Rhinolophus ferrumequinum: one gene and its partner. The protein of the gene in region 1 purifies or fractionates together with the protein of each later gene. This does not show direct contact. Links are inferred from orthologs where the notes say so. Each region holds a gene or a part of one and is shown on either strand. Other genes may lie near its edges. The genes, in order: FBXL13 and CETN2.

Evidence for each region.
Region 2: the proteins of FBXL13 (region 1) and CETN2 purify together in Homo sapiens (affinity purification with mass spectrometry; 3 studies listed by BioGRID and IntAct, counting the BioPlex papers as one, with this or other methods). This does not show direct contact. The link is inferred for Rhinolophus ferrumequinum from reciprocal best matches to the Homo sapiens genes FBXL13 and CETN2.

The regions. Positions count from the first base shown.
Region 1 is NC_046303.1:46,930,805-46,945,882, reverse strand, and holds the start of FBXL13 (dynein regulatory complex subunit 6), read left to right. Parts: upstream 1-8,666; 5' UTR 8,667-8,957; coding exon 8,958-9,032; intron 9,033-15,078. Other genes in the region: ARMC10 (armadillo repeat-containing protein 10), read right to left, coding at 1-2, 8,271-8,409. UniProt on the Homo sapiens protein: Substrate-recognition component of the SCF (SKP1-CUL1-F-box protein)-type E3 ubiquitin ligase complex.
Region 2 is NC_046284.1:7,304,697-7,319,607, forward strand, and holds CETN2 (centrin-2), read left to right. Parts: upstream 1-8,165; 5' UTR 8,166-8,302; coding exon 8,303-8,305; intron 8,306-9,035; exon of another isoform or gene 9,036-9,133; intron 9,134-9,242; coding exon 9,243-9,401; intron 9,402-9,724; coding exon 9,725-9,853; intron 9,854-11,190; coding exon 11,191-11,328; intron 11,329-11,783; coding exon 11,784-11,873; 3' UTR 11,874-11,972; downstream 11,973-14,911. Other genes in the region: NSDHL (sterol-4-alpha-carboxylate 3-dehydrogenase, decarboxylating), read right to left, coding at 1,213-1,284. UniProt on the Homo sapiens protein: Plays a fundamental role in microtubule organizing center structure and function. Required for centriole duplication and correct spindle formation. Has a role in regulating cytokinesis and genome stability via cooperation with CALM1 and CCP110.

The DNA of each region.
Region 1 (15,078 bases):
TTCTGCATGAGAAGAAAATTATTTAAAGTTCACCTAAAATCAATATGAGATTTAAAACATTTTAAAAACAGTATTGAATGCATACTCTGATATCAGGCACAGTGTTAAGCACTTTATATGCTTTATCTCAGTTAATCCTCAAGTAACCCTAGGAAGAAGATACTATTACGCTTCTCAATTTACATATGGGAACCTGAGACTTGCAGACGTTAAGGAATTAGTCACTTGGTATTTTCCTTTAGTAAGACACTGCATGCAAATAACATATACCCTATCGCCAACTGCATTTTCTGTTTCTTTTACAAATCAGGTACACCCATCCACTGAAACACTTGCCTACAGGAATAGGATTTACATTAAAAAAAGCTTTTCTGATCACAATTTTAAGAGCATCTCAGGCAGAGGAGAAGTTTTGGGAGTGTTTCAGGTGTGGCATTTCTGTCTGGTTTACATGAATAAAGCACTGATGACTGGAATGCTAGAGTAACAGTTTTGCTGGGGGTGATGACGAAAGAAAAGCTGTCATTTTGAGTAAAAAGCTAGCATAGTCAAATGCTGGGTCTGCTCAGTGACTTAGACTTTATACCTCTAACCTTAAAACAAATCCTCTTTACAGAAATCATCACAGGAAAAACAGAAACCATTTTTCTAACACTACTGTGTTATAAACATAGAACATGATTCCTTAAAAGTGAAACTATGATTATAGGTCAGACAACGCATGTGTTCACGTATATGGCTGGGGGCGTGGGGAGGGTGGAGGACAAGAGAAGGTTATACAATGATGTCACATCTGTACTTTTTCTTTTTAAAAATACATACCAAATTATTATAGGTGGCGATCTTTGGGTGCTGGCATAATAAACAACTTTTATTTTCTACCCTGTGTTAATGAGTACTTTCTGCAAGTTTCAAACAATAAACATGTATTATTGCTATAATTAAAATAATTATGAATATTGCTTAAAGAAGAATCACAAAATATCTGTGGGATAAGGATAGATTATGGGAACTGATAAGTGGTATGATGTGCTGAAGAAGTCAAATAAGAAATCAACCGTCAGGAAAATCTAAAATCTAAAGAGCCAGCAGATTCTCACTCCCAAGTCTTATAATCAGGATCTCTGGGCTCTGCTTTTACTCCTGAATCCACTACCTGCCTCATTTACATCTTATAAAACAGGGTTTCACCTAAAGAATACCTGAAAAGATAAGCCAAAGAATAACGAAGCACAGATTTTTAGAATAGAAAGAATGTTGCGGTTCATCCAAACCTCTCATTTTACACACCAGGGAACTGAAGCCAGGTTCATTTAAAGATCTGCCTAAAGTCACACAGGAATTGGTAGCAGAGACCACAGAAATGAAAATACAAAACTGGAGGCAAGTCACTTAACCTCTTTTTGGGTCTCAGGTTTCTCATTTGTAAAATAAAAGGGTTGGTCTAAGACAATAACTGTTCCAAAGGTTCCTATACAACTTTGAAGGTGTGTGATTTTCTACACAAACATATGGCAGAAATATGATTAAATTTAACTCATTCATACTTCTAAAACATTTCAAAATTTGATTACTTCCTAATACATTTTCCCACAAAACCCTCTAACATTTTTATAGATATGTAAATTATTTATAAATAGTCCAATAAAATTTTCTAAGGAAAAGTGTTTAATCATAGAATTTTCACTTGAAGGGAGGAAGTGCAACGTGTTTGTTGAAAGCCAAGGCTAAGGTGCCAGACTGTCTAGGTAGTTCTGATTCTAGATAAGCTACTTAACCCAAGCTGAGATTTAACCTCTCTAAGCCTGTTCCTTCATCTATTAAATGGGAGTTAATAGTGTCTGCTCAAAGGATTTTAATGCCTAGAATACTGTGAAGGCCTGGAATATTTTCATTATTTTTTTTATTAAGAGGACACACAGCTGGTTAATAACAAAACTGGCTCTAGAATCCAGATCTTTTCATTCCCAGTCTGTTACTCTTCCTCCTACGAGACCCCTGTTAATCTATTAAAGTGATGATCCTCATTTAAATTTTGTAAATAAATCTGAACTTCTCTGCTTGAATTTTTAATAAAAACCACGTTACTTTTTCAGATAAGAAATAAACCTAAAACTCTTCAACACTTTAGAGGATGGTGATCACCTGATACCTACCTTTTCCATTGGTAAAATTTTGAACTATTATACAAGTGAGGCAAACACGAGTGTCCGAGTTCTCCACTTAGCTTTGTACCAATAAGACTCTGAAAGAATTTTAAGCTCTGTGGTTCACCATCTCAAGTAAACAGAGGAGAAATTCCACTTCTCAAAGGAAATGAAAAGTGACTACCAAAGAATAACATTATAGCAAGACAAATTTCAAGATAATTGTCATAGTACAGAATCATTCCAACCAGGAACACAATATGCTTTCCTGTTTATGTAGCCTCATTCATGTTCTTCATTAAAATTATGTTCGTATAGGCTTCTTGCTAGATGTATTCAAGTTTTTATAGCTATCACGAATGAGATCTTTTCAGTTAAATTTATGCATTTGTTATTCCTTCCATACAAAAAGCTACTGATTTGGGTATATTTATCTTGCATTCGAGTTATTTATTAAACTCTTGTTGCTTCTAAAAGTTATTCAGTTGATTCTCTTGGATTTTTCCAAATAAATCATTATGTCATCTACTTATTATAATTTTGTCTCCTTTCCAATATTTATGCATTTTTTTTCTTGTGTTATCAAGCTAGCTATGACTTCAGGATAATGGTGAAGAGTAGCTGTCTCAGCAGGCACCCTTCTCTTGTTCTTGAATTTAGTAAAGATGCTATTAGTGTTTCACCATTAAATATAATGTTTGCTGTTTGGTTTTTGATGGATGCTCTTCATCAACTTAAAAACATTTCCTTTTATTTATTCCTAACTTGCTGCAAGTTTTTATCAGACATGATAACATTCAAATGTTGTTTTATTATGAAGTCATCGTGTTTTAGCTTTTAATCTAATAATGCAAAAAATTACATTAATATATTTCCCAACATAAATTCTCCTTACATGTCCATCTGGCCTTGGTATATTATTACTTGAATCCCATGATGGATTTGATTTGCTAATATTTTATTTAAGATTTTTATATCTTTATTTGTAATTGAGATAGATTTATAGTCTTTTTATGCTATCCTTGTCAGGTTTTGCTATTAGATTGGTGGATGAATTGCAACTGTTTCCATATTTTTTTAATGCTCTCAGTCTTAACAGTATAGGAATTACAAATTTCTTACACTTTAAGGCAAAGAAACGATCACCCAGTTCTGGTTCAAGGTGGTGATGTAGGAAGATAGTGAACTCACCTTCTCCCACAGACACATCGAATCTACAGCTACATAGGGGCGACTCCCTCTGAAATAAACCCAGAAACTGAGTAACTCCTACGGGGTTTTCCTGAAAATAAGCACCAGTTAAGATCTCAGCCAGACGGACGCATTCAGTATGTTATGACGATGTTCCAGAAGAAGATGACATGACTGTTTGAATAAATGCAGATCGTTGTACATGAAAAATAAGACATCCCCTGAAAATAAGCCCTGATGGACCAAAAATTAATATAAAACCCGGTCTTATGTTTGGGGAAACATGGTATGCATCGGGCAAATGAGAAAAAACCACACTGAAATAGGTGAAGAGGCTGAGACACAATCTCACCATAAACTCACCCTTGCTGCAGTGATCCACGATTGGGAAGAAATTCACAACTCACAGTTTCTCCCACAGGAGCGAAGGATTTGGATCCTACATCCTGTGCCCCAATTTTTAAGACTACCACCTGAGAAATGGGCCCCGAAAAATTCTAACTTTGAAAGCCAAAGAGGTGTGCGTCCACAAGACCCCCACGGCTATACAGCGAATTAAGGGACAGTTATTAATGGCTCCAGCAGACTCACTACGGCTAACACCCCAGGGCCCAGCAGAGGCAGTTCCCTGAAACCAGTTTTTCCCTGAAAGAGGTCTACTTGCTCATCTAAATAGCTGTGGCCTGAGGAGCTGGCTTCAATTTAACATACAATGGGAGCCCAAATGATTACAAGGAAGGAAATAAAGACTAGAGCAGAAATAAATGAAACAGACTCTTCTAAACTCATTTACAAAGCCAGCATTACCCTGATACCAAAATTAGACAAGGGAGCCATAAGAGAAGAAAATTATAGGCTAATATCCTTGATGACCATAAATGCAAAAATCTCAACAAAATATAGCAAACAATACATTGAAAGGATCATACACCATGATCAAGTGGGATTTATCCCTGAGATGCAAAGGTGGTTCAACATCCTCAAATCAATCAATGTGATACACCACAGTAACAAATGAAAGACAAAAATCATTTCATCATCTCACTAGATGCCAAAAAAGTAGTTGACAGTATTCGACATCCATTCATGTTAAAAAGTCTCAAGAAAGTGAGTAAAAAGGGAATGTGACTCAATGTAATCAAGTCCAGGTATGACAAGCCTATGTATCATACTCAATGGTGAAAAACCAAAAGTTTTTCTTCTAAGTTCATGAACAAGACAAAGATACCCACTCTTGCTATTTTCATTCAATATAGTACTGGAAGTCCTAGCCAGGGCAATTAGGCAAGAAAAAAAAAGCATCTAGATCAGAAAAAATGTTGCAGATAACATGATATTCTATACAGAAAATCCTAACGACTTCACCTAAAAAACTGTTAGGATACAAAATCAATATAAAAAACCAACTGAATTTCTATACATTAATAACAAATTATCAGAAAGAGAAATTGAGAAAACAATCCTACTGACAAATGCATCAAAAAGAAAACCTGGTAATAAATGTAATCAAGGAGGTGAAAGACTTGTACAGTGCAAACTATAAGACACTGATACAAGAAAATGAAGATGACACTAGTAAATGGAAAGATATTCTGTGCTCATAAATTGGAAGAATTAATATTATTAAAATATCCACATCACCAAAGCAATCTACAGATTCAATGTAATCCCTATCAAAATTTCAATGGCACTTTTTCATAGAAATAGAACAAACTATCCTAAAATTTGTATGGAACCACAAAAGACCCCAACTGCCAAATCAATCTTGACAAAGAAGAACAAAGCTGGAGACATCACACTTCCTGATTTCAAAGTAAACTACAAAGCTATAGAAATCAAAACAGTACGGTATTGGCATAAAACAGAGACAATAGATTAATGGAACAGAATTGAGAGCCCAGAAATAAACCTATACACATATGGTCAATTAATTTACAAAAAGGAGCCAAGAATATACAATGGGGAAAGGACAGTCTCTTCAATAAATGGTGCTGGGAAAATTAGCCACAGGCAAAAGAACAAAACTGGACCACTATCTTACACCATAAACAAAAATAAACTCATAATGGATTAAAGTCTTGAACATAAGACCTGAAGGCATATAACTCCTAGCAGAAATATAGGTGATAAGCTCCTTACATAGGTCTTGGCATGATATTTTGGATTTGACACAACAAAAGCAAAAATAAGTGGAACTATATCAACCTAAAAAATTTGAGAAAATATTTGAAAATCATGTATCTGATAAGGGGTTAATATTCAAAATACAGAAAAAATCCATGCAACTCAATAGCAAAAAGCCAAACAATCTGATTAAAAAGTGGGCAGAGGATCTGAACAGACATTTTCCCAAAGACATTAAGGTGGCCAACAGGTACATGAAACAGTGCTGAATATCAGCAAGCATCAGGGAAATGCAAATCAAAACCACAATGAGCTATTATCACCTCACACTTGTCAGAATATCTATCATCAACAAGACATGAGATAATGAGTGTTGGTGAGATGCAGAAAAAAGGGCGATCTTATGCACCATTGGTGGAATGTAAATTGGTGCAGGCGCTTCTGGAAAACTATGAAGATTCCTCACAAAATTAAAAATGGAACATATGATCCAGCAATTCTACTTCTGGGTGTTATCTGAGGAAAACAAAATCACTATCTCGAAAAGATATCTGCACTCCCGTGCTCATTATTTACAATAGCCAAGATAAGGAAACAATCTATGTCCATTGTTGGATGAATGTATCAAGTTTTATATATATATATATATATATATATCAGTCATAAAAAAGGATATCCTGCTATATGTGACATAACATGGATGGACCTTGAGGGAATAATGCTAAGTGAAATAAGCTAGACAGAGCAAGACAAATACTGTATGATTTCACTTATTCGTAGAATCTAAAAACAAACAAAAAAACCAAACTTCGATACAGAGAATAGATTTGATTGGTGGTGGTGGTGTTGTTATGGCTCCATGCATATAAAAAGGGTGAATGTGGTCAAAAGGTACAAGCTTCCAGTTATAAGTCTTGAGGATATAATGTGCAGCTTGGTCTGATTACAGTTAACAATATTGTATTATATAGTTGAAAGTTGCTAAGAGAGTATGTCTTAAAAATTCTAGGCACAAGAAAAAAACTATAACTGTGTGGTAATGGATGTCAATTAAACTTTTGTGGTGACCATTTTGCAATATATGCATACATTATGTTGTTTACCTAAAACTAAAGAATGTTATATTATGTCAATTACATCTCAATTAAAAGAAAGATCATCCTCTGAAATCCAAGAATGATGCTGACAAAATGGGTATTTATCAATCTTTTTCAAAAATGAAGGTGTAGCTTCAAGAAGAAGGGACTGTGAGCAACTTCATTCATTGTAGGCTGCCTGAATACCTAAGATATTTTGGTGATATGAGAAACTGGTAAAATTAAAAGTAAGATTTTTGTCAGTCGTCGTCAGTATAACTGAGAAGGTACCTGAGTCCAGGCCATCTGACCACTTACTTATACAGAAACATCTCTGACATAAAGACAACAAATTAGGCTTTGTAAGTGAGGGTAAATGCAAATCTTTAAAAAAAAAAAAAAAAGGATTTTTCCCTTGTGCGAAAGGGAAAGACCCTCCCCCCCACTCCCTTAGAGCATTTCCTCGAGGAAACTTGTAATTGTAATTCCTTTGTCTATCTCTTTGATATAAACATACATCTTTGTAAAACTTAAGTAAGCCTCTTGGCAGTTTGCAATCCAAGAAAGTCTTTCTTAGGGGCTTTGGGATCATTTGTTTGAAATATCAAGGAAGAAGCAGCTATTTCCTTGTCTCTGAATTTAGACTTGGCACCTGGCTCCATGTTATAAACACCTGTTTATCATAGAGATACTGAGAAGTCTTATTTTCCCTCTGGATAAAGGCAATTAGCTAACATAAACAGACACCCCAACTACCAGATGAACTATGTGTAGCAAATGCTGCTGTCAAGTTCTCTTAAGGACAAACTGTTTATCTCGAGAACATGTAGGTAATATGAAATAGGTTACATCTGTCTGGGTACCTAAAGGGGTGAGAACCCTTTCTGTCTTTGCAATCCCGTTTAGCAGACTGCCGGTGATGGGTGTAGCAACCAGGTTTAATGCTTAGTCCATAATAAAGCTACTTAGTTCTTTTGTACATCTGTAGAGAGGAGCTTCTTTGTTGGCAGGAGGTTTTATTTTTATTTCCCTAACAGCTTCCATGACCTGAAATATCCATCCAGAACATTCAACAAATTGTTTGAATCCTGAATGCACCAATCAACTTCTGGACAGAAACCTAATCCTGTACTTACTTGTCCGCCAGGAGGTGTTCCCTATGCAGACAACTGTTCCATTTTGAAATAGCTATTATCTACATCTATCTCCAGTATCTCTCTGCAATTTTGTATATATATGCACCGTGGTGACTTGAAGGTATCCTCCCCTCTCAGAGGCTGGGCTGAGTCCAGGCAGAACTGCCCCTTTGGCGTCCTTTCTTCCAGGGTAACTGCACATAGCATTTCATCTACTGCTCCAGGCCTCGCAACACCCCGTCCACAGCCGGGGAATCCCTCTGGTAACACAAAGGCCGGGAGCAAGCTTTAACGTGAGAGGCAATCATCCGCTTTTGCGAAACCTAATCCTCAGCTGTGACGCCGGACTCAGGTAGGAAAGTCTGACCAATAGTCTTATGCCAGGATTTTGAACAAAGAACTGGAAGCAGGGAAGCGGCTCAGAATCCTACACCCACCCAATCAAGTGGACAATCTGCCCACTATACCTGGACCTCCCTTCCTCCGCGGGCTCAGCTCCTTCTTTCACTCAGAGCACAGGCAAGCCACGAGCGCCTGCGGCGTCTCCAACCCCCACTCCTGTCCCCCCTCACCTGCCGGGCACCCCGTGGCCTCACCTGCAGATTGCGATGGACGCAGCCGAAGCCCGTGGCCGCCTCGCCGCTGGCCCCGCATCAGCCTGTAAATGCAGTAGCAGGCACCGGCCCCGAGGACCAGGCCCGCCGCCACCCAGCCCGCGTGCCGGGCGCCGCCCATGCTGCCGCTGGAGCCTGTGCGCAGCGTGGGGCCTGGAGCAGGAGGCTCGTGTGGGCCCGTGCAGGGGTCTCCGAGGCCAGCGGGAACAGCCGCCGCCCGAGCTGGATGGAGCCCGCCAGCCCCAGGAGAAAGGAAATGGGAGTCTGAGCTCCGCCTCCCGGAAACGGCCCTGCTGAAATTGTAAAACCGCCCACTCTGGCCCCGACGCGTCTGGGCAGCTCCCCCCCGGTGGGGCGAGGGGCTTGTAGAAGGGAGCTACACACACACCGCGCGCCCCGAGGGGCCACACCGGGACTGAACGGCCCGGAGGCGGGCTTCCCCGCACTTCCAAGCCCATTCCGCCGGGGCCGTAGGGCCGCCATCCTTCACGCCGCCCCGGCGTGCGGGCGCTCGGCTCCTCAGCAGGCCCGCCCCTCCCGCCCCTTCCGCCCCGCCCCGGGGTTGCTGGGGCAACGCCGGGACGCGCCAGCCGGGAGTCCCCGCGGCGCTCTGGCTGAGCCAGGAGTGGAGAGCAGGCCCGCAGCGCAGTTAAAGTGGGGCCTCTTGCCATGGCCTCGCTACGCAGTGCCAGCGCCAAGCTGAGAAACTACTTCAGGGAGAACTACATTCCTCAGGTCTGCGAGGTACTGGAGCCACTTGGCGGCAGACCTAGGAGACGGAGGAATCGGAAGGGATTTCCCAGAGGAGGGGCTAAGGTTTGGCGGGGAGGGAGGGAGTGGAGGGAAGGACGAGCGGAGTAAGACAATATGATGTCAGCCTGGGACAAGTAGGCAGTCTGGGCTGAAGATAGAGGTCCGAGAGGAGAAAACAGAGGGTGGCGGTGGCTGAAAGGGGTGGGGTGGGGTGGTGGTGACATCTTCCAGGCAGAAAGAGCACATGGCCCTGGAGAAGAAACCCTAAACTCCAGCTTTAAGGTTTGGACCAAAAGAGCCTGGGAAGAGGAACCTGAGGACTAGAGGAGTGGAAAGGAGTGCCCTAGAGAGAGAGAGAGAGAGAGGAGAGGGAAATCAGGAGAGTGTGGCTTTATGAAGAGAGTGGGCGACAGTGTCACCTAAGATAAGGACCTGATGGGATGTAATGGATTGGCCCAAGGTGAGCCTGGGGTTCCAATGGAACAAGGAAAGCAGAAGACAGGTTGAGGTTGGCTGAGGAGAGAGAGGAAGCTGAGACCTTTAGAGGGAAGGTAGCCAGCCAGCCCTTTGTGAAGGGAAAGACTCCCTGACTAGTATTGCCTTAAACGGGGAAGGACTGCCCCTTCCCCCCTTAATTATAACAGGAGGAAGGAGGACAAGATAGGGGTGGACAGATTTTGTAGGTTTGGGGGTAGGAAGCCAAGAAAGGTCTCCTCTGGTGACTTCTATTTTCTCTACAAATATTTGGTGAGATATTTGCCAAGAATGTGTATGTTTGGGTGGGGATGGGGTGTGCAGAGGGGTTTTGAGTAGAGAGAAGTTATGTGGAGAATGAGGGAGAGAGAATTTTAGGGAAGGACAAAGGAGAGCCTCCCTGGGGTAGCAACTCTCCTCTGCAGTTGGGAGGCCAATTTGGTACAGCTCGCCTCCTTTTGGGACGGTAATGTTGAAGTATTTATTAAAATGTTAAATACATCTACCCTGTGACCGAGCATTTCCACTTCTAGGGATCCACTTTGGAGATATACTTGCATATGTGCTCCGAAGGATATTCATTATAACTGTTCCATAGTGAGAATGGTAAACAACCTAAATGTGAATAAGAGAATGAGATATTATGTAGAATTAAGTATATCTGTACCTTTTGAGAAGAAAAGCTCTTTAAGACACATTCAGTTAAAAAAAGAAAAAGATAAAAAGGCAAGTTGCCCAACAAAGTATCTACTACAATCTGGCTACCTATCTGATTTCACATATGTATGTATATGCATGTATATATATGTGTGTGTTGATATGTATATGTATGTGTATGTACGTATAACTATCTATATTTAAGAAAATACATGCATAGAGCATATGCCAAACTATTAACAGCAAATGTTTTGGGGAAGGTTTTAGAGGAGAACCCTAATTTTTTACTCTGTATACATCTGTATTGTTTTAATATTTTGTGATGAGTTTCACTTATGTTTTACCTCTATATATTTGATAATATGTAGAGAGCATGGTACTCATCTTCCCAATTTGTGATTTTCTCAAGTAGCACTGAGTAATAAACCACATGTAGGTACAGAAATAAGAGTTGACTTCATCCAAGATAGTTTTCCAGGCGTATAGAATGGAAGGCAATGGTGAGGGAGCTACGCTTTTGAGAGTGCCTGACGTGTTAGGCCAAGGATTCTAAGGACCGCGTGGGAAATGAGAACAAGACATGGTCCTGATATATGGGTAGACAGTGGACATTCCTAAGGGGTGAGTGAAGGGGACGAGGGAGTAATTGAGTGAGGGAACTGGAAAAGTAGGCGGTAGGGGTCAAAAAGTGGAATGTTTTTGTGTTTAAGATTCAGGATAGAGCATTCTGAATAACGACTCAGTCCAGGTTGGCCATGGAGCAGGTCGCAGAAGTGGACTTGGGTTGAGGGTCAGGGAACACCAGGGAAGTGATAGCTTCTTCTCACTTTGCTCTCCACTTGCTATGACACTACAAAGCTGCCAGGGGCATCCCTGGTTCTTCTTCTGAAGGCGAGCACTTCCTCACCAGCCTCACAGCCTGTATTGCTCTGCCCCTAGAGAAAAGAGGCCCTCAGAAGTACTCCCCATTGCCTAAGATAATAAGCTCTTGAGGAACTCTTCACCTACATTGCCAGCCAGTGCAAGAGAGCAGTCCTTACACACTCACCTTCACCTGGTTACTCGCTTCCCCTAAGAGACTATCAGGAAGAATCCCACTGTGCCTCATACCCCCGTACATCTGTTCAACTGACCCAATTTGCCAGGCCTCACACTCTTCTAAAACCCATCTTCTGCAAGTTTTGAAATACATAATCTTTCATCACAGATTTTCCTGTACAGTTAACCTCTTTTGAACTTTACCTACCTGTCCTAAATAAAAGCTGATTGTCTACTTAGAATGTCATTTCCCTGCAAACCTCCTAAATAGAGGCTGATTTAAAAAAAATCTTGCTCTATTCACTGGGCTTACCTAGTCTGTTGATTGATATTTTCCATCAGTTTTAGAAAATCCTCAGTCATTTTCAAATATTGCTTCTACCCAGTTTCTCTTTCTTCTTCTGGGACTCCAATCATAAATACATTAGCTTTTTTTAAAACTTTGTCCTATATGCCCTTTTTGTTCTGTCCTGTTTTTTTTTCACTCTGTGCTCAAGTTTGGGTATTTTTTATTGATTGTCTTCAAGTTTATTGATTCTGTTTTATACTTTGTCCAGTCTACTGTTAAATACATCAGATGAGTTCTTAATTTCAGACAGTGTATTTTTCAGTTCTAGAATGTCCATTTGATTTTTTTATACATTCCAATTAAAATTCTGAATTCTTTTTATCCATTTTGTCTATCATTTCCTGTTTTCTTTAACATGTTAATTCTTGTTCTTTTAAAATTATTGTCTGTTAACACGATTATTTTGAATTAAATTCTTTACTAGAATTTAATCACTAGAATAGAATAAGTGTTCTTTATTAAAATTACTGGTGTGATTTCTGCCTCCTGACTGATATGGAAGGCTTAACTGGAAAGGGAAACAAGCAAACTTTCTGAGGAGTTGGAAAATGACGGGGATATGGGTGATAGAATTATATAGCTAAGATTTGTGCATTTGAATTTTTGTAAATTTTACCTAAAAAATTACAGTTGAGAACAGGTGGGAAATGGGTCAATATATAGTTAATATAAGAATCACAGATTGGTGATAATTGTTGAAACTAGGTGATGGGTGTATAGGGGTTCATTATACTATTGTTTATTTTATGTATGCTTGAAGTTTTCCATAATAAGTTAAAGTAAAAGACAGGCATAGCTGGGTGTTTTGGTTTTTTCCCCCCTCATTAAAAAAATGAATATAGTTTGGGATGGGTGGAATGACAGGCTTTATTTGGCTGTATAGTCGTTCTCTGTTTGCTTGTTGTATCAATTATTCATGGCTGTGCAACACAACAGCAAAACTTACTGGCTTAAAACAACAGGAATCATTTAGTTTGCTCAAAAATCTGAAATTCTGGCAAGGTCTTTCAAGGATAGCTTGTCTCTGCTCCGTATGGTACCATCTGGGATGGATCAACGGGGTTAAAGATCCCCGTTTGAGATGGTTCACTCACATGCTTGGCAAGTTGGTGCTGACTGTTGGCTGAGAGCTCAGCTAGGCCTGTGAACCAGGAGGCTTGGTGCCTCCATGTGGGCCTCTCTGTGGGCTGCTGGGACCTCCTAACAGTAGGGTGGCTCAGCTCTAAGGGCAAGTGTCCCCAGAGAGAACTAAGTAGAAGTTACATCACCATTTATGACCTAGGCTCAGAAGTCTACATAACATTGTTTTCACCTAGATTCAAGAGGAGGGAACATAGACCCCACTTCTTCTTCTTCTCCTCCGCCTCCTCCTCCTCCTCCTCCTCCTTCTTTATCTTTTAGCTTCGTTTGAGGTATACAAAACAATGTAATAGACATTTACACCTCTCACAAAGTGATAACCCCTCTCCCCCAATCTACTACCCCTCTGACATCATATATAGCTATTTCAATTCCATTGACTCTATTCCCTATGCTGTACTCCACATCCCGTGACTATATATATTTAATTATAGTTGACATTCGTTATTATTCAGTTAAAGCTTCAGGTGTACAGCACAGTGTAGACCCCACTTCTTGATAAGAGGTATATCAAAGTCACATTGCAAAAGGCGCCTGTGGGATGGGAGAAATTGTCATGGCCATTTTGGAAAATACAATCAGTCACACCTGGCTTGTTCATACACTGGGAATCTGGGATCACCTTGTATCTCCGGGCATTATATGAAGAGATAAGGTGCGGATCACAACAGTATCACCCAGTAAGTGACTCTTAACCCTACTGTAATTAACTCTTCTTAACTTTTCCTTTTCTATGTTCCCCAGGAGCAGATGCATACCGGACATTAACAAGTTCCTTACACAATATCTACTTCCCCCCTTTCCTCTTCTGAGTATTTCTTATACTTTTATTCCATAACCGACCTCTTCTCCTCACATCCCATGTGCTCCAGGAAAATCGACTATCGGTATCTCTGAGGTTGGACCCTGGTTAGCTTATGACAACCAGTGCATTCAATTTCCCAGGCCACAGTGTTTGTGGACATGGTGGGTGGTGGTGAGGATTGTGGGGGAAGGCAAGATAAGCTCTAAGCCAGTTTAGATCAGGTTGCTCGTTGGAATGTTGGGATGAGATATATCATCTCTGGATGTTCCTGGGGAAGCATGTACCCCTGGGAGCCACTGGCAGTTATCTTGTGTCCACAAGGAGAGATGGTTTTAGGTTGAAGTGGATTCTGAGAAAGGCAGAATGGGGAAATGGAAAGAAATCACGTCTCTAGTGATATAAGTAAGTGACTGGGTTAAACCCACCTGAAAGCTTGATCTACCTTTGGAAGTTTTAGTTGTAGCAGCCAATAAATTCCATGTGGAGTTGAGGTTTATTACTTGAAACCTAAAGCATCTGAAGCAATACAATGGGATTATTTTATTGTGAGATTGCCCGGGTTTGAGTCTTTGCTTGCCAATTATTAATTGTGTGATGTTGAGCAAGTTTCTAAATCTCTCTGTTTCTTGTAGTAAGATTCCAACTGGATGAGAGCCAGGCCTTTATTTTCTAGAGTGAGAGAAAGAGATTGTGAAAGGGAAAAACAGGAAAAGAAAATCACAAAATGTATCCTCAGGCAAATCAATTTTAGGATAGAATAATAGGGAAGGTGAGGACCTGGAAATGGATTCCTTTATACTATTCATATTCACACATCGGTTGGAAAGCCCTTGTGGATTCCTAGCGGTTTGCACACCCAGCTTAAAGAGGGCTGGATTATAGGTTCAATTTTTTGGCACCAGCCAGCCTTTTTTTCTTGGGGTATGGAAAGAACGGTCAAATAAGGAGGGTACATTAGACCATTCCATCAGCAAATACTTGCTGGTCATCCACCATCTGCTAGAGGAAAACATCTCAGCAGCTGTGACTCCAAAGATATCTCCAGTCCAAACGTTTCTCCCGAGTTCTCTGTGCATTTATTCATTGGTGTCCTACAAATATATTAAAGAAGTAAAAAGAAATAGGTGAAATTCATTTTAATAATATATTTTATTCAAACCAATTATCAAAAATAGAATCATTTCAACATGAACTCAGTACACGAGGTGTGATCAAACAATGTGGTGAATGTTTAAATTAAAAAAAAATTTTATAGTGAAAGACATATTGCCATTAATCTCCCTCAAAATACTCCCCCTCACTTTGAACACACTTATCTCATCATTCTTGCCACTTTCTGAAGCAGTTCAGAAAGTCCTTTTTTGTGAGTGTCTTTAGTTGCACTGTTGTGGCTGCCTTGATGTCCTGAATCATTCTGAGTTTGGGGAAGAGCCAGAAGTTGCATGGTGCCAGATCCAGTGAAGATGGATGAGGACACACCATAATGTTTTTATTTGACAGAAATTGCCGTATACCAGAAGCTATGTGTGACACTGAGTATTGTCATGATGGAGGATGACTTACAGCACACTTTA
Region 2 (14,911 bases), on another chromosome or scaffold:
TGCAATGGGGATGGGTGCTTTCCCTTCTCCGAGCTCTGAGGAGGCTGACGAATCTGGGAGAGCTCTGGTCTTTACATCTTAGCTTCTGCACCACTTTCTTGACCAAATGCCAACTGTGGTCACTGGGGATAATGGAAAACCAGAGCGCCACGGGCAGGCACTTAAATATTCTCACTCCAGGGAGTCAATGCAAAATTGCGACTGCTGCGTGCTGAATAAGCTGGCTACAAGTGTCCCCAAGCGAGGACCTCCTCCCTGGGGTCTTTCTAAAACCACATCTGGACTTCCTTAAGATGACAAACCCCCCTTTTTCCTAAGCTCAAGTATAGTGAATCAAAAGTGGGGTGTGGAAGCTAAAGATCTTAAAAGAATTCTGTTCCCGATGAAAACCAAACAAACGAACAACTCCCCTACTTATTCCTTAAATGCCTACACAATTGAGATATGCAGGAGACTGAAGGGGTACCAAAGCCTTCTACAGGTCCACCCCTGCCACCCTGCTGTCCCACCTGGGATGACATTTTTACTGGAGTCCACTGGACATCTGGAGATGGCTCTGTGCCTTTAGCATCATTTCCCTTGGTATGATTACATTTCTGAAGTGTTAGCATTCATTAAAAGTGGATCGAAAAATCTCTAGGAGGCCTGACAATCCCTTAAAGTCCCTTTAAATATTCCAGACGCTAGACCTTAGGAGGCCTTGGTACTGCCCTTGTGGCCCCTGAGGAAGGCTTCTACCATTCCACCCAGAAGCCCAATCTAGCCTGTCTAGGCCATATGAAGGCAAACTGAGGCACCCAGCTGACAGCGGCAGTTACTGCCGGGTGTGTGAGGCCACCTGGAACATACACATGCGGGGGTCCCCATGACTGCAGCTGTGAGAGTGAGCCCAGGGGAGACCAGCCACGGACCTCCCAGCTGGGCCCAGCTGAACAAAGAAATGGGTGTTGTTTTAAACCACTGTGTTCTGACATTGTTACACAGCAATAAGTAGAGACATAAATTTTATATAAAAAAACAATACTCAACATTAATTGATTTAATAAATGTACCGAGTATAATAAAAGAACATCTTTAGCATCGTAGCTTTTCCCATGGCACTCACCGCATATAGTTTTAACCCACAGCTAACTATCAGTGGCTTCCTGGTATGTATGTGCTCAATTTGCCCCTTACCTGGTTTTGGCTAACCTTTTTTGTGTCGGTACTTACTTTTGGAATGTCTTCTGTCAAATGTGTCGCTGTGACCTGGCCTCTCATTGGCTTGCCAACTGCTTGTTCCATTTCAGCTCCAAATATGGTCCTGTAGCGATCGAGCCTTCTCTTCTTAAAGACATATTTAGAGATAGATATTCATGTTGTAAAAAGCAAAACATGCTTTAGCTGTTAGTGTTTGCTGTGAATGCCAACCCCCTGTCGAGTTTTCACAGAGCTGAACTTTAGCTGTGGCCCTTGGATGGAGCCCTCAGCTACCATTTGTGTGACGCAGGCTGCTGTCTTAGAAAAGGCCAAAATTGGGCCCATATCTCACCGTGTACTTGGACTGGAGGCACAATGGGAGGCCAGTTAAATAACCTCAGTCATTAGTTACAACAAAAAGAACATCTTGGCATCGTAGCTTTCCCCATGGCACTCGCGTGCTTCAGTTGCTCTCGCTTTCTCTTGTGTTGATCAGTAGACTGCGGCAGTGCAGTGGGAAAATGCACAGACCTAGGGAGCCCTGGGGTCCAGTCCTGGCCGGATGACAAACTGTGTAAATCCGCTCAAGTTATGTCTCTTTGCTGCAGCTCAGTTTTCCCACCAATAAAATGAACTAGGTGCTCAATACCAAGATACCAGGGCCTGGGATACTGGGAGGGACAGAGTGTAACAGAAGATGGAGCTCTCCTTCTTGGTGAAATTAAAGCCATCCTGACCACGCATGGAAGAGCCCGGAGTGTCTGGGGCCATCGTAAACCTCGGGAGACATTCGTGAAGCCCACCAACTGACAAAGCCCCACAATGACACCCAACAGGAGAACAGTTTATCATGGATCCCCTAACATCTGGAGACAGCGAAATCCTTGACAAGGCAAACAGTCAAACTGCTCACAAAACACTAGATTCACAGAACACTCTTCGGTGAGGAGGGGGCAGGCAGGCAGCCAGCACTGGGGTCTCCAACACTCTGACTAATCCCGTCCGATTCCACACCTTGAGTGACACACACACGGTCATGGTCATGTGTCCCTGTAGGAACTGATTTTGTGGGTGGCTAAAATGACCTTGAAACAGATGTTAGGATCCTCAGTCTCTGATGGGGCCATTTTGGGAAAATATATTTCTGAAATCATAACGAAAATTACGTGGAAAATAGATTTCAAACACTTCACTTTTTATAGGCCTTTCCAGAATGTATAAGTTAACCAGCCGTTCTATGCCTATCCTATCCCTCTTTTTATCCCATAATCCTCTTTGTGTGGGCTGGGGGCCCTGTTACCCGTGCACCGTAAACAGATGTGGCTGGGGAGCTTTGACTCATTTGTCTCAACGTGTATCAGCTGGGGAACCAGCGTTTGGGCCCTTGCACCAAGGCCTAGCAGCGTGTTAGTTCCATCTTATTCACCATGGTATCTCAGCATGAAATGTCTGTTGTTTTAAGCCCGCAGTGTGTAGTCATTTGTTGCAGCAGCCCCAGGAGATCAACACAAGTATTCTCCATAGTCCCGAAATCCAAATAGCACAGCTACCAATTCCATAGCCCACCCAAAGCCTGTGCTCCCTCCATCTCTAGGGGCGGATCTGGGAGGTGAAAGAAGAAATCCGTCCTGCCCCCATGGATCCATACCATTCAAACAAGGCTCATGCAATTCTCAGCAAACCAGCCTCTTGTGAAAACCCAAACAAAAGCACATCTCTGTTGTCTCAAATTATATACAAATTAAAGTTTGTAAATACTATGAGCCAGGTAAGGATTTTGGTGATACTTTAGCTGTTTCTAGGAGCTGGGGTACCCAGGACTAGCCTGAGGAATGAGTCAGATCCTACTTGCAACCCCCCCCACACCTAAATTCCCATGTAATATACACTCAGGTTAAAATAAACACCAAGAATAGCTCTGAATGAATAGATGGACTTTTCTCCAGAAAAGATGGACTTTACAGATGGCCAGTGAGCACATGAAAAGATGCTCACGATCACTAATCATTAGAGAAATGAAAATCAAAACCACAGTGAGATACCACCTCACACCCACTGGGGTGGCTATTATCAGAAACCAGAAAATAACAAGTGTTGATGAGGATGTGGAGAAACTGGAACCTTTGTATACTGCCGGTGGGAATGTGAAATGGTGCAGCCGCTATGGGAAACAGTGTGGAGGTTCCTCAAAAAATTAAAAATTGAACTACCATATGATCCAGCAATTCCACTTCTGGGAATATACCCAACAGCATTGAAACCAGTTTCGTGAAGACGTCTGAGGACTCCTAAGCTCACTGCAGATTGTTCACGATGGCTAAGATGGAAACAACCTCAATATCATGGACAGATGATTGGATGGAGAAAACGTAGTGTATACATGCAGTGGCATCCTATTCAGCCATAAACAAGAAGGAAATTCTACAGTATGTGACAACATGGGTGAACTTTGAGGACATTGTGCTAAGTGAAAAAAGCCAGTCACAGAAAGATATTTACTGTATGATTTTACTTATATGAAGTACTATATATATACATATATGTATCTGTAACTTATATATTAGGTTGGTGTAAAAGTAATTGTGATTTTTGCAATTATTTTTAACCTTTTAAACCGCAATTACTTTTGCACCTACCTAATATTAAAAGAGTTAAAGTCATAGAGTCAAAGAATGCTGGTTACCAGGGCTTGGGCAAAGGGGAAATGGGGAGTTACTAATCAATAGGTGGAAAGTTTCAGTTATGCAAGATGAATAAGCTCTAGAGGTCTGCCGCACAACATTGTACCTGCAGACAGAAGGACTGTCTTGTACACTGATACATTTGTTAAAAGGGTAGGTCTCATGTTCATTGTTCTCACCACAACAAAATGCAATACAATGCAATACAATAAAAAGTTCAAAAAAGGACAAATTCTGATGCACGCCACAACACGGATGAACCTTAAGGACATGACGCTATGGGACACGAGAACCTTGGGAAGATTATGCTAAGTGGACAAGCCAGACACAAAAGAACAAATACTGTACAATGAGTACTCAAATTCACAGACAGAAAGCAGCATGGTGGGTGCCAGTGGCGGGGGGAATCGGGGAGTGACTGCTTAGTAGCTATAGAGTTTCAGTTCTACAAGATGAAAAGAGTTCCGGAGATGGACAGTGGTGATGGTCGCACAACACTGTGAATCAACTTAATGCCACTGAACTATACACTTGAAAATGGCTAAAATGGCCAATTTTCAGTTCTGTCTATTTTACCACGCATACACTTAGAAGAACAGCTCTGGATGGAAAAATAAGACCCCAAAGAGCAATGTTCTAAGGACTGGGCTTGTTAAGGTTCACAAATCAGAAGCCTGAAGTCTTTCTCCTTTAAGACGGTAGGTCTTGGAATCCATTAAAAACCAGTAATGCATGCCCTCTTACACACACTGGGACAAAGTCTTAGGCGGAAAGGAATCTAGGAAAAGAGAACCACCTTCCACTGGTGAAATCCGAATGCCTCGCTCAACTTCTGGGCAAAAAGAGGAGGGCCGCTAACAGAATTCGATGAAGAGAGGAGCGAGTGAACCCAATCTCCTCCTTCCTGCTGGGAAAAGTTCCACATTACTGAGTCCCGGAGACAAAAGGAAGGGATAGTCTGTCCATTTCAAACCAGAGAGAGAAAGACGAGTGTTCCCTCCTTGTCTTTCACAGACCTGAGGTATGTGCAGGTTTCTGTCTATCATTTGTCTCTCTGCTTGTCTATTCGCTTGTATGACAAGTGACTTTGAATTTGTGGTGGCCACGGAGAAACCCATCAGCATGACTGTGAGCTTTAGCGTATACTGTTCCCTCCCCTCTCTGTGGTAAGACCTTTCTCATCCTTCAAGGCCTAGCTCCACTGTCACCTCCGTAAAACCTCCCCCCTCCAGGAAAGCTTAGCTACTTCCTTAGCACCTGTGTCTGCTCCCATTCTAGCACATCGCACAGGATTATACTTTTTTCCCCCCATATCTGTCTTGGCCCACTAGGCTGTGAGCGTCTGGAGTGCCAGCAAAGAATCGGGAATGGAATCTGGGTTGAACTGTGCTGCTGCGGCTGGTCTAAGAGGCTTCATCTGTAGAGCAGTAATCTCTCCTGCCGTCCTCAGAGCTGCTGTGGGGCCCAAACAAGCCCCACGGGTTAGAGCGGAGATGCAGCTTGTGAAAGAGCCTCAGGGTATCAGCTCGCTCATTCCTACATTCCATCATTCACAGGGCACCACAAGCCGGACACCGCCAAGCAGAACCTGCGTTAACACAGGGAGCTCGCCACCTAGCGTGGGAGACACACCTAGCAGAGCACTGTAGAAGTGCCCCTGAGCTCTGCTGAGGATAAACCCAGGTCAGGGAGCCTGTCCCAGAAGGCGATCCCTGAACTGAGCTCTCAAGGCCCCAGAGGAGTGAGTTAAGCGGAGAGGGTGGGTGCCCGGAAAACATTCCATGGCCCGGGGTGGGAAGGATGAGGTGACAGAGCACAGAGCCAGCATGTCTGGCAACTACGACAAGCTGTGTCATGGCAAGTGTGAAGCAAGATTGGGAGCAAAGTTGGGGAACACGCAGGGCTGTTTGTCAGGTTAAGGAGTTACCCAAGGAGGAGATGGGGAGCCCCTGGAAGTTGTAAGCAGCGTGAGTGAAGAGATCAGAAATATCCCTCTGGCTGCAGTGTGAAGGGATTTTAGCCATGGCTAAGCCTCCAGCCTCCAGGTAGGTGGAATGACAAGAACAAATCAGAGAAGAGAACTGATATTGCCTGAAAACCTGCTGTCAGGCCCTTGTACATATGACCATATTATACCATTAAGATCCAAAAAGTATCTAGTTAGGGAGACAGTAGTGGTCTCATTCAATAGAGTCTCAGAGAGGTCAACCAACTTGCCCAAAGTCACACAGCTCCTATAGGCCAAGGTAGAACTTGTGGTGGTTCCTTCTCCTCTGCCATGCTGCCACCTGCAGTCTGACTGGGAAGTAGGGTGTGGAGGGACACGATGTTAGAAGGACTAACGGGCAAAACAGGGCAGGCGGCTCGGATGCCAGGCTGAGTCTGGACTTTACTCTGTAGTCATGGGAAGCCACCGAAGGTTTAAAAGCATGGGGTGACCTGGCCAGAGCTGTTCACTGGGAAGATTAACCTGGCAAAGCAGGGAAGACTAGACAGGTGAGAAGCAGGAAACGGGGGGACTACTCACCAGTCTTTCAATTGAGATTTACTGAGCACCTAATATGTGCCCATCACTGTTGCTGGTCCTGGAGTGCTAGCAGTGAACAAAACAAAGATGTCTGCCCTTACTGAGCTTACCTTCTACTGGATGGACAATAAAGAACATAGCAAATAAGTAAAATATACCATAGGTTAGAAGGTGATAAGCACTATGGGGGAAAAAGCAGAGCAAGGTGGGTGGGGGCCTTGGGTGTGCTGGGGGCTGCAGTGCTAAATAGGCTGCTTAGGATGGCTCACTGAGCAAGGACCTGGTGCAGGGAAAGAGGTGGACCAAGCAGGCAGAAAAGGCACAGCCGGCGCAGAAGTTCTAAGATAGGAGTCTGCCTGTGCATTTGAGGCCCAGCAAGGAAGCCAATGTCCCGGGGCTGGAGGAGCCAGGGGAGACGTGGGGGCATGTCATACCAGGCCTTGCAGACCAAGGGGAGAACTTGAGCTTGAACTAGTTGGGAGTGGAGCAACAGAGGTGGAAAAGAAAATAAATGGCAGATAAGGGGGAGAACTGATAGAACTTGGAGGCTGGTTAATGGGGGAGGGAACAGAAAAAGAAAGGATCAAATATAACCAAAAGGTTTGGGACCTGGTTCGTGCTCGAAGGGGAAGAGGGCAAAGGGCAGAAGATCGGTGAACATTTTCATTTAAGGAATGCTAATAAACCTCAGGCCTTTCTTGGCCTGAGAAACTTATGCTGTGTCCCCTGCCTGCCTAAATACTGCCCCACTGCCCAGAGGGGAAGCAGGTAAATGCTGAGAGCCACAGAGCGCTCTTAGGCGGGGCGGACCTGGGCCTGCAGCTCCACTGCCGCAGCTCCATTTCAGCCCAAACCCTTGCACACGCCCCCTTGTAATTCTCCAAGCATGCCTCACACTTCCAAAACTCCTCTGCTACTTTGCTCATGAAGGTATCTCGGCCTGGAATGCCCTTCCTTTTCCGCCTTTGACTGGATGTCAGAGCATTTTGATGACCTCTCCCCCTCATGCTCACTCGTATCTCCTTCACTCCCTTCAAAGTCTATTCACCTTCCTGGGCTGCTTTTAGCTAGGGGAGAACTCAAATGATCCTCTCTTGGAACGTGGTCTGGGGGGCGGATGCTCTCAAAGGGACACCCTCAAAGAGCCACAGCTGGATTCAGCTTCTAAGTTTCAGCTGTCCGGACCTGTGCCACAATGCTTGCCATGTCCCTTTCCTTTTTCTGGGTCTCAGTCGCTCTGTGAGTAGCCGGCGCTCACCACCGCGGACACACTCCGCCGCCCATTGTTGCTACAGCCGACGTACACACACAACTCAGAGCAGTTCCCACCGACCCGCGCGGGCCGCCGCGCTCTCCATAGGTGACCTGTAAAGTTATGATCTTCTCTGACTCCTCTGAGTCCCTCTGACTCTAACTCAGTCTTAGGCCAGAGCAGAAAGCCCCGACCCGGATCGCCCCACCCAGCCCCTTGCCCTCCCGCCCAGTTGCCTACATAAGGCGGCCTCCAGGGGCTCGGAGGCGACACTTACCTGTCCCTAGATGTCCCACTGACCGGCCTCAGCGCGCCCGCAGCCAGCACCCGCCAAGCTCCCGCAGCTCGCCGCCCTTTTCTCCCCGCCCGCCTGAGCTGATGATCGCCCGACGGTCCTCCACTACCCCGACTGGCTCGGCTTGGCGTTGGCTCAGCCAATCAACTCTCGCGGCGCGATCCAGCCCAATGAGGCCAGGGCTCGGCTGCCTGAGCGCGCTCCCCGCCCTGATCCGGGCCTTTGTCGGTGTACTCCCACCCCCTCCAGCCCTGCGCCAATGGTGAGCGGCGGCAGCGAGCGGGTCAGTGCGCGCGGGTCGGTGGGAATTGCGCCCAGGCTGTGTGTACGTCTGTTGCCGTAACAACGGGCGGAGCAGTCTGTCGGCGATGGTGAGTGCCAGCTGCCCTGTCGCGCCCCTTGCCCAGAGGCCGAGCCCTTCTGACCCCGCCACCTCTCCTGCACCGTTCTCGGCTTTGGTGCGCCCCTGCTTCTATGATGTGTTTCCCGGAAGGGCTGGGAAGAGATGCCAGCCACCCTGCTGGGCCTGTGATTCGCCACTGCCTCCCCTGCACCCACAGCCGGCCCCCACCCGCCCTTCGGGCTCCCCTGGCCTTCCCTGCCCCCTCGGTTACCGGTTCCTGGGTGAAGAAGACTCAGGTTCCCCGCAGGGTCTGACCCCTCTCAGACCGTGGTCTCCTGGCCGCCTTGTGCGACCAAAGTTTCCGCACAATGCCGGGGGCGGGGGGGGGGGAGGTTTACGACGTTGGATTGTTAACTTGCATTTTAAATTTTAAGTATCGGGCCATTTGGGAGACGCATTGAGCTTTTTGGGGAAAGCACAGATGAGCCAAGTGGATTGAATTTTATTATTCGATATTGACAGAATATGCATCTTAATAACTTAGTAATATTTGGCTAAATCTAGAAGTAGTCACAAAGTCAGAATACTTAGAGGGAAGCGGAGTACCGCGAGTGGGCATTGTAAGGACATTTCTAGAATTAGGATCCCCAAATTCAGGGAGAGTTTATTATCTGTCCAGTTATTCATACTCCGCTCCTTGGCTAGCTAGCTCTCTTTACGGATGATTTCAATAAGGGATGTCCTTGTTTCTAGAAACAATATAAAGAAGAGGAAAGGGATAGAGCTACATGGAAAGATTCTTTGTTTTGCCCAGTAAACCCTACTATCTCTCCAGTTAAGCAAAGCTTCAGGATTGGTTGGTATAAACTATTTTTAAAACAGATATGGTTGTCTCTAACGATTTTATGCAAAATATGGACTGTGGTACATAATATGGTGCTTATGTGTTTGTAAAATGTCTAAAGGCCTCGAACTTTAAGAAGGCAAACATGGCATCAACTACCCAGCGAAAAAGGATGAGTCCTAAGCCAGAGCTTACTGAAGAGCAGACACAGGAAATCCGGGAAGCTTTTGATCTCTTCGATGCTGACGGAACTGGGACTATAGATATTAAGGAACTTAAGGCAAGCCCTGTGCAATCCTACTCGCTGCCTTGCCTTTCCTCTGCCTCTTTGGCTTTTTTCCCTGTCACTGCTCTACCCCTTCTGCCCTCTTCTCCCTGCAAAAAGTAACAAGGGGAGAATGTGCTGTGCTCTGTTTTCCTGTCTTTACTTACCCCAAGTGTTATTAAGTAAAATGAGTGCAAATATCAATTTGCTTAATGCTCCAGTGTTTCCCAATTATTTTCATGTGATTGTGTCAGGTGCTGGCTTAATGCTCTCAACATTCATTTTTGCTCCTGCTCGGTTTCGATGAGCATATTGAGATGATCCTCTTTTCATTGTAGGTGGCAATGAGGGCCCTGGGCTTCGAACCCAAGAAAGAGGAGATCAAGAAAATGATAAGTGAAATTGATAAGGAAGGGACAGGAAAAATGAACTTTAGTAAGTTTCTGACTGTGATGACTCAGAAAATGGTAAGTTAGCTAAGAAAATCAGCATATTTCCCACCCATAATGGACAAATTTGAATCTCGATATGAAAATGTCTTCATTGAAGGAAAGTTAATACAAACTAGAGAGTTCAGCTGATAAAAGATAGTATTTGTGACTGAGAATTAAGATGTTTTTGGTTCTGCTTGGCTTTCTTGAGGGCCACAAAATCACAGGAAAAGTAATTTTACCCTCTGTAAAGTAGTGAACGTATACTGCTGTCACATTTTTGCTATTGTCTTTCCCCAACTGAATTGTCAATGTGATAACCACAAGCAGTAAAACCTATACACGCCAACAGCATTACAGTGTCTCGCATTTTGATAAGACAAAGTTCCTATATTTTAAAGTTTGAAATTCTTTTCTTTCCCATTTGTTATTCTGGGCAGCCTTAGCTTGAGGATGTGTAACTTCAGCAACCATGCTTTTAGGCTGCGCTGGGGATTTGATCTTTCAGCACTTCCAAGGTTAAGTTTACCCATTCTCTAGTGTCTCCGGTGTCCCTCTTTTAAAGGGTCCAAAGGGTCAAGACAGACTATAAGATGTCACCCCAGCAGCCCACCTCACTGCCCTGTCATCCCACCCAGGAAGTATGTTTCCATTGGGCCATTGCTCTTTCTTTGGCCTCCTGGCTCTTCCTCAGTGTGGCTCACCTGTGCTCCACTGGTCTGTCGAGACAGATACTGAGTAGTAACTCCATCAGTGTCTCAGGTGTGTTTCACAGGGCACAGATCGGTTCCTACTCTAATAACTCTGTTGCTTTGAAATCATCTAATTATACCTATATTTTTCTTCATGGACTAACTTAAGAGATCAGAAAGCTTAACATTCTGTCACTACCTAGTAAAGCTGTCCCACATTCAAGGGTGTTCCCGAATTGCTCTTATTAGGGGTTCTCTCTATCTTTAGCTACCTTTCAGGAATATTGGGAGTTTGAGCTTTTAGCGATTTTCCTCTCTTCCTCTGTTGGAGGACTTGGGATCCCAGTAACGCTATATGATCTCATCACAAGTAAAACAGCCTTCTCTTTGCTTCTTGACCCCTCCACCAAGAGGATCCCTCTTCCATCAGCTTAAGGAGTATATTCTCCCCGATGTGAACTCCACCTTCTTCTGTATTTTAAAAACGAATCCAGTTTCTCTTTGGTTTGTACAGAAAGAATGATGTTTGATCTCCTGTGACCTAGGACCTCTGTCATAAAGACCACCACCATGACCACGTAATGATGTAGGGGCAAGGCAGAGAGGCTAGGCGCTGTGGGGCTACAGGACTAGTCACTGCGGTGTTTCCCTACTCATATGTTTTATGTTCTACTTGTTAAGTCTGAGAAAGATACCAAAGAAGAAATCCTGAAAGCTTTCAAGCTCTTCGATGATGATGAAACTGGGACGATATCCTTCAAAAATCTAAAACGTGTAGCCAAGGAGTTGGGCGAGAACCTCACTGACGAGGAGCTGCAGGTTTGTAGTGTGTCTGACTGGAATGCAGAATCCCTTCTCGGAGCCCTGGGTGACTTTTCTGAGTTATACTCTCTTGGATGTGAGTGCCACCTTGAAGGAGAACTAGTGTTTTCTTGTCTTTGTGCTGACCATTTAATTTCTCTTCTGATGGTGTGACACTCCTTATGGACCCTGCTCCCAGAGAAATGCACACATGGACAGTTTTACTTATAAGTTTAGGTTTTAGGAATCCCCCTAGTGAAGATGACCTTTGGGCTCCGTTCTAGGTGATATGCGTGACAAACTATGACTTGGACTTCAGATCACTTTCAGGAACCACGCTATTACCAAAAGCAGCACATTTGCATGGGATGGACTACAGTTGTCTATTCATGTAGCATGATAAGAGCCTGTTGCTTAGTCATGTTTTCGTTTCATTTTGAATTGATCTGACCTGAGTCCTTATTGTCACGCAGGAAATGATTGACGAAGCGGATCGAGATGGAGACGGAGAAGTCAATGAACAAGAGTTTCTGCGCATCATGAAAAAGACCAGCCTTTATTAAGATTGTTCTCTCCTTTTCTATTGCAAGCACACATAACTAGATTTCGTGCCTGCCATTGTGTGAAACCTGGTTTTCGAGAATAAAAATTGTTTTCTTTCCCCACCGACCTCCCTGTGTAACCTTAGTAACAACCTCAAATCTCTTTTCGATTTTGGAAAGTGTTCTTTGACAGTGAAGTTCTTTGTGAGGTGGCCTGCTGGTCGCTTTAATTCCCCAAAGCAGAGCGCGAGCACATTACAGTGGAGAAAAGGGTCTTAATACTTTTGCCCACCCGCCGTTCTGCCTTGTATCTGTTCACTCTTGTCACACATTCCCATGTTTATGCCACCACAGAAGGACTTCTGAGACAAGCACGTGTTTTACCTGTGTCACCAGGCAGCCAGCATCTTTTCAATGGTTCCGGTTTTAACTGACACCTGAGTGCCGCTTTCTCTTTTACAAAACTCCAGTGAACTCTCTCACTTGCATTTGGAAGTGTGTGTGTGTGTGTGTGTGTGTGTGTGTGTGTGCTATTTGTTTTGTCTTAAAAATAAAGCCTTTCTTATTTTGAGTTTTTGTTCTCCAAGGATGAGTTCTTTAAACTTGACTATGAGTAGCTCTTCTAAACCATTGTGTTGAAGGCAGTCTGGTAAGTCCCAAACTCCTTACTCCCAACTCCTTTTCAGCCTGTGGGCAGAAAAGGAAATAACCCTTTGCTATTGGCATGAATTGGTTCTTGCCTTGGGAACCCGTTGGTGTGTAAAACTAGTAGAATTTCATTTCACGTAAGCCTAAAGGATGCCCTAAAAATAGTTTTGGCAAAGTATAAGACCAAAAAAGAGTTATTGGTAATTTATGCTTGGACAGATCAAGGAAAGCAAGGTTATGATGACAGTAGGTTGAATTCAGCCAAACTCTGCTCAGTGTCCTTGCTGGATGGTGTCTCAGAATCTTGGTGTCAGGTTGGGCTGAGTGGTCAGTTCCTGTGGGGCTGGACCAGAACGATGGAGGGGATAGGAGGGATGGGGACGGAATGGTAGGAGAGGTCAGTGCAGGTGCACATGATGCAGAGGGTGGGAGAGTGAGCAAAGGGTGATGGGGAGAGAGGGAAGCTCACGTGGGGCTGGACCAAGAGATGTAGGGGAGATGGGAGGACAGAGAAGTAGAACACGTTAGTTCCTGTGGGGCTAGGTCAGGGAGATGTAGGGGGCGTGGTTGGGGAGGGAGGGAAAGGAAGGGTAGGTTAGCTCAGGATGGTCTACAGAGGTGGAGGGGAATGGGCAGGGAGAGGGAACGGGACAGCCCTGTGGTTGTGCCAGAGAGATGTCGGGGGAGTAGAGTGGGGTGGGGGGCAGGTAGCAGAGATCAGTTCAATTAGGGATGGACCAGCAAGATATTGGGGACTGAGGTGGGACTGAGAAGTAGAGGGACTAAGGTCAGTTCACGTGGGCAGGAAAGTGATTAGAAGGAGGGGGAGGAAAAGGGGGCAAAGGTTAGTTCATGTGCAGATGAACCAGAGCTGTAGGGGCTGGGGGGTGATGGGGAGCAGGACGGAGCAGGTGTTACTCCATGTTCAGCCCCAGCAGAGAGTGTAGGGGGATCAGGGATAATGGGGAGGGAAAGGGCACAGAGGTCAGTGCATATCGGGCTGGACCAGAGAGGAGTGGGGAGTGGGTGTGGGATCTGACACAGAGCACCGACATCAGTTTATGTAAGGATGAACCAGAGAGCTCCGTGGGAGTTGGGGGGGCGGGGAGAGAAAGGGGGAGGAGAGGTACTTGCATGTGGGACTTGGCCAGAGATATGAAGGTGGAATCCATGGGGATGGGAGCAGAGGTCAGTTCCTGCAGGTGGGGCAGAGAAAGACAGAGGTGTGAGAGGGGTGGAGAGAGGGGGGGCAGATTCCGTGTTGGGTTGGGTATTGGGAAAAAGAGGGAGCCGAAGTTAGTTGATGTAAGATGGACCAGAGAGAGTCATAGGGAGGTGGCAGGGATGTAGATGGAGAGGGAGTGGAAGTGCCTTTCTATAAAGCTGGTGCACAGAGTTGTAGGGGATGAAGGGGTGGAGATGGAGAGGGAGCTGGCATCTTCAGTTCCTATGAGGATGCGCAGAGATGCCGGGAGATGGAGGGAATGCAGCTTTAGGGGAGAGAAGGTGGGAGGGATGCGGAGGGAGAAGAAGGCAGTTGCTGTTGGGCCTGTGGTCCTCCCCAGTAACTCAGGGAAGTCCTTGAAAGAACTCTCTGGTGGATTAGTCTTTTCTTTGCTCCAAAGTGTTTCAACTACTAGGAACAGCTGGATTCATTGGTAGCGATAATCAGGCTTGAAATAAGTCAATTCTAAGGAAGCTGTTTAAAGAACGGAAGTAGCTCAATTCTTGTCCCCTTTTAGACATGGAAGAACTGCTGGACCAGACTATTGACTGGATATTGAAGGGCGGGAATGCACATTGACTGTCCTAGGGGGCGCTATTGAGGTCCTTTCACTGTCAATCAGATTTTAAATTCTTGTTTTTGTCAAATTTTCAAATGCTAGGACTTGGGGCAGCACACTCAAAGGGAATAATACACTCCAAACAACTCTTTACTAGTTAGTGATTACAAGTCACAGCTCCATAGAAAACAGCCACTGGTCATCCCACTACACACTTAGTCCGTCTTCTGTTTGACTAGAACTGCTTGCTCTCCAGTGGCACTCCCTCACCAAGTTCAAGTTCTCCCACAGTCCAGGAACTACCCCTTTTGGAGCCCCCCAGGGCCATTGTGATAAGTGTCTCACAGCAAGTGGCAACCTCTTCCACTCCATGTCTCATGACATGCTCAGCTCAACGTCCTATATTCTTGAAGTTGCTGGAATAGTGTGCATCTTCCATTGCAGCAAAAGCAATCAGTCTGTGTCTAAAAGCAATCAGTGTCTAAAATTCTCACAGGGATTCTGGGCCCATTTCAAAAAACATCACTACCAGAATTTGATGTGTCTGGAAAACAAGTTACGTCTTTTCTAGTTTTCCTCCCCACTGACCCTGTCTTCTCTCCTGAGCCTCCCCTTAACCACCTTTTT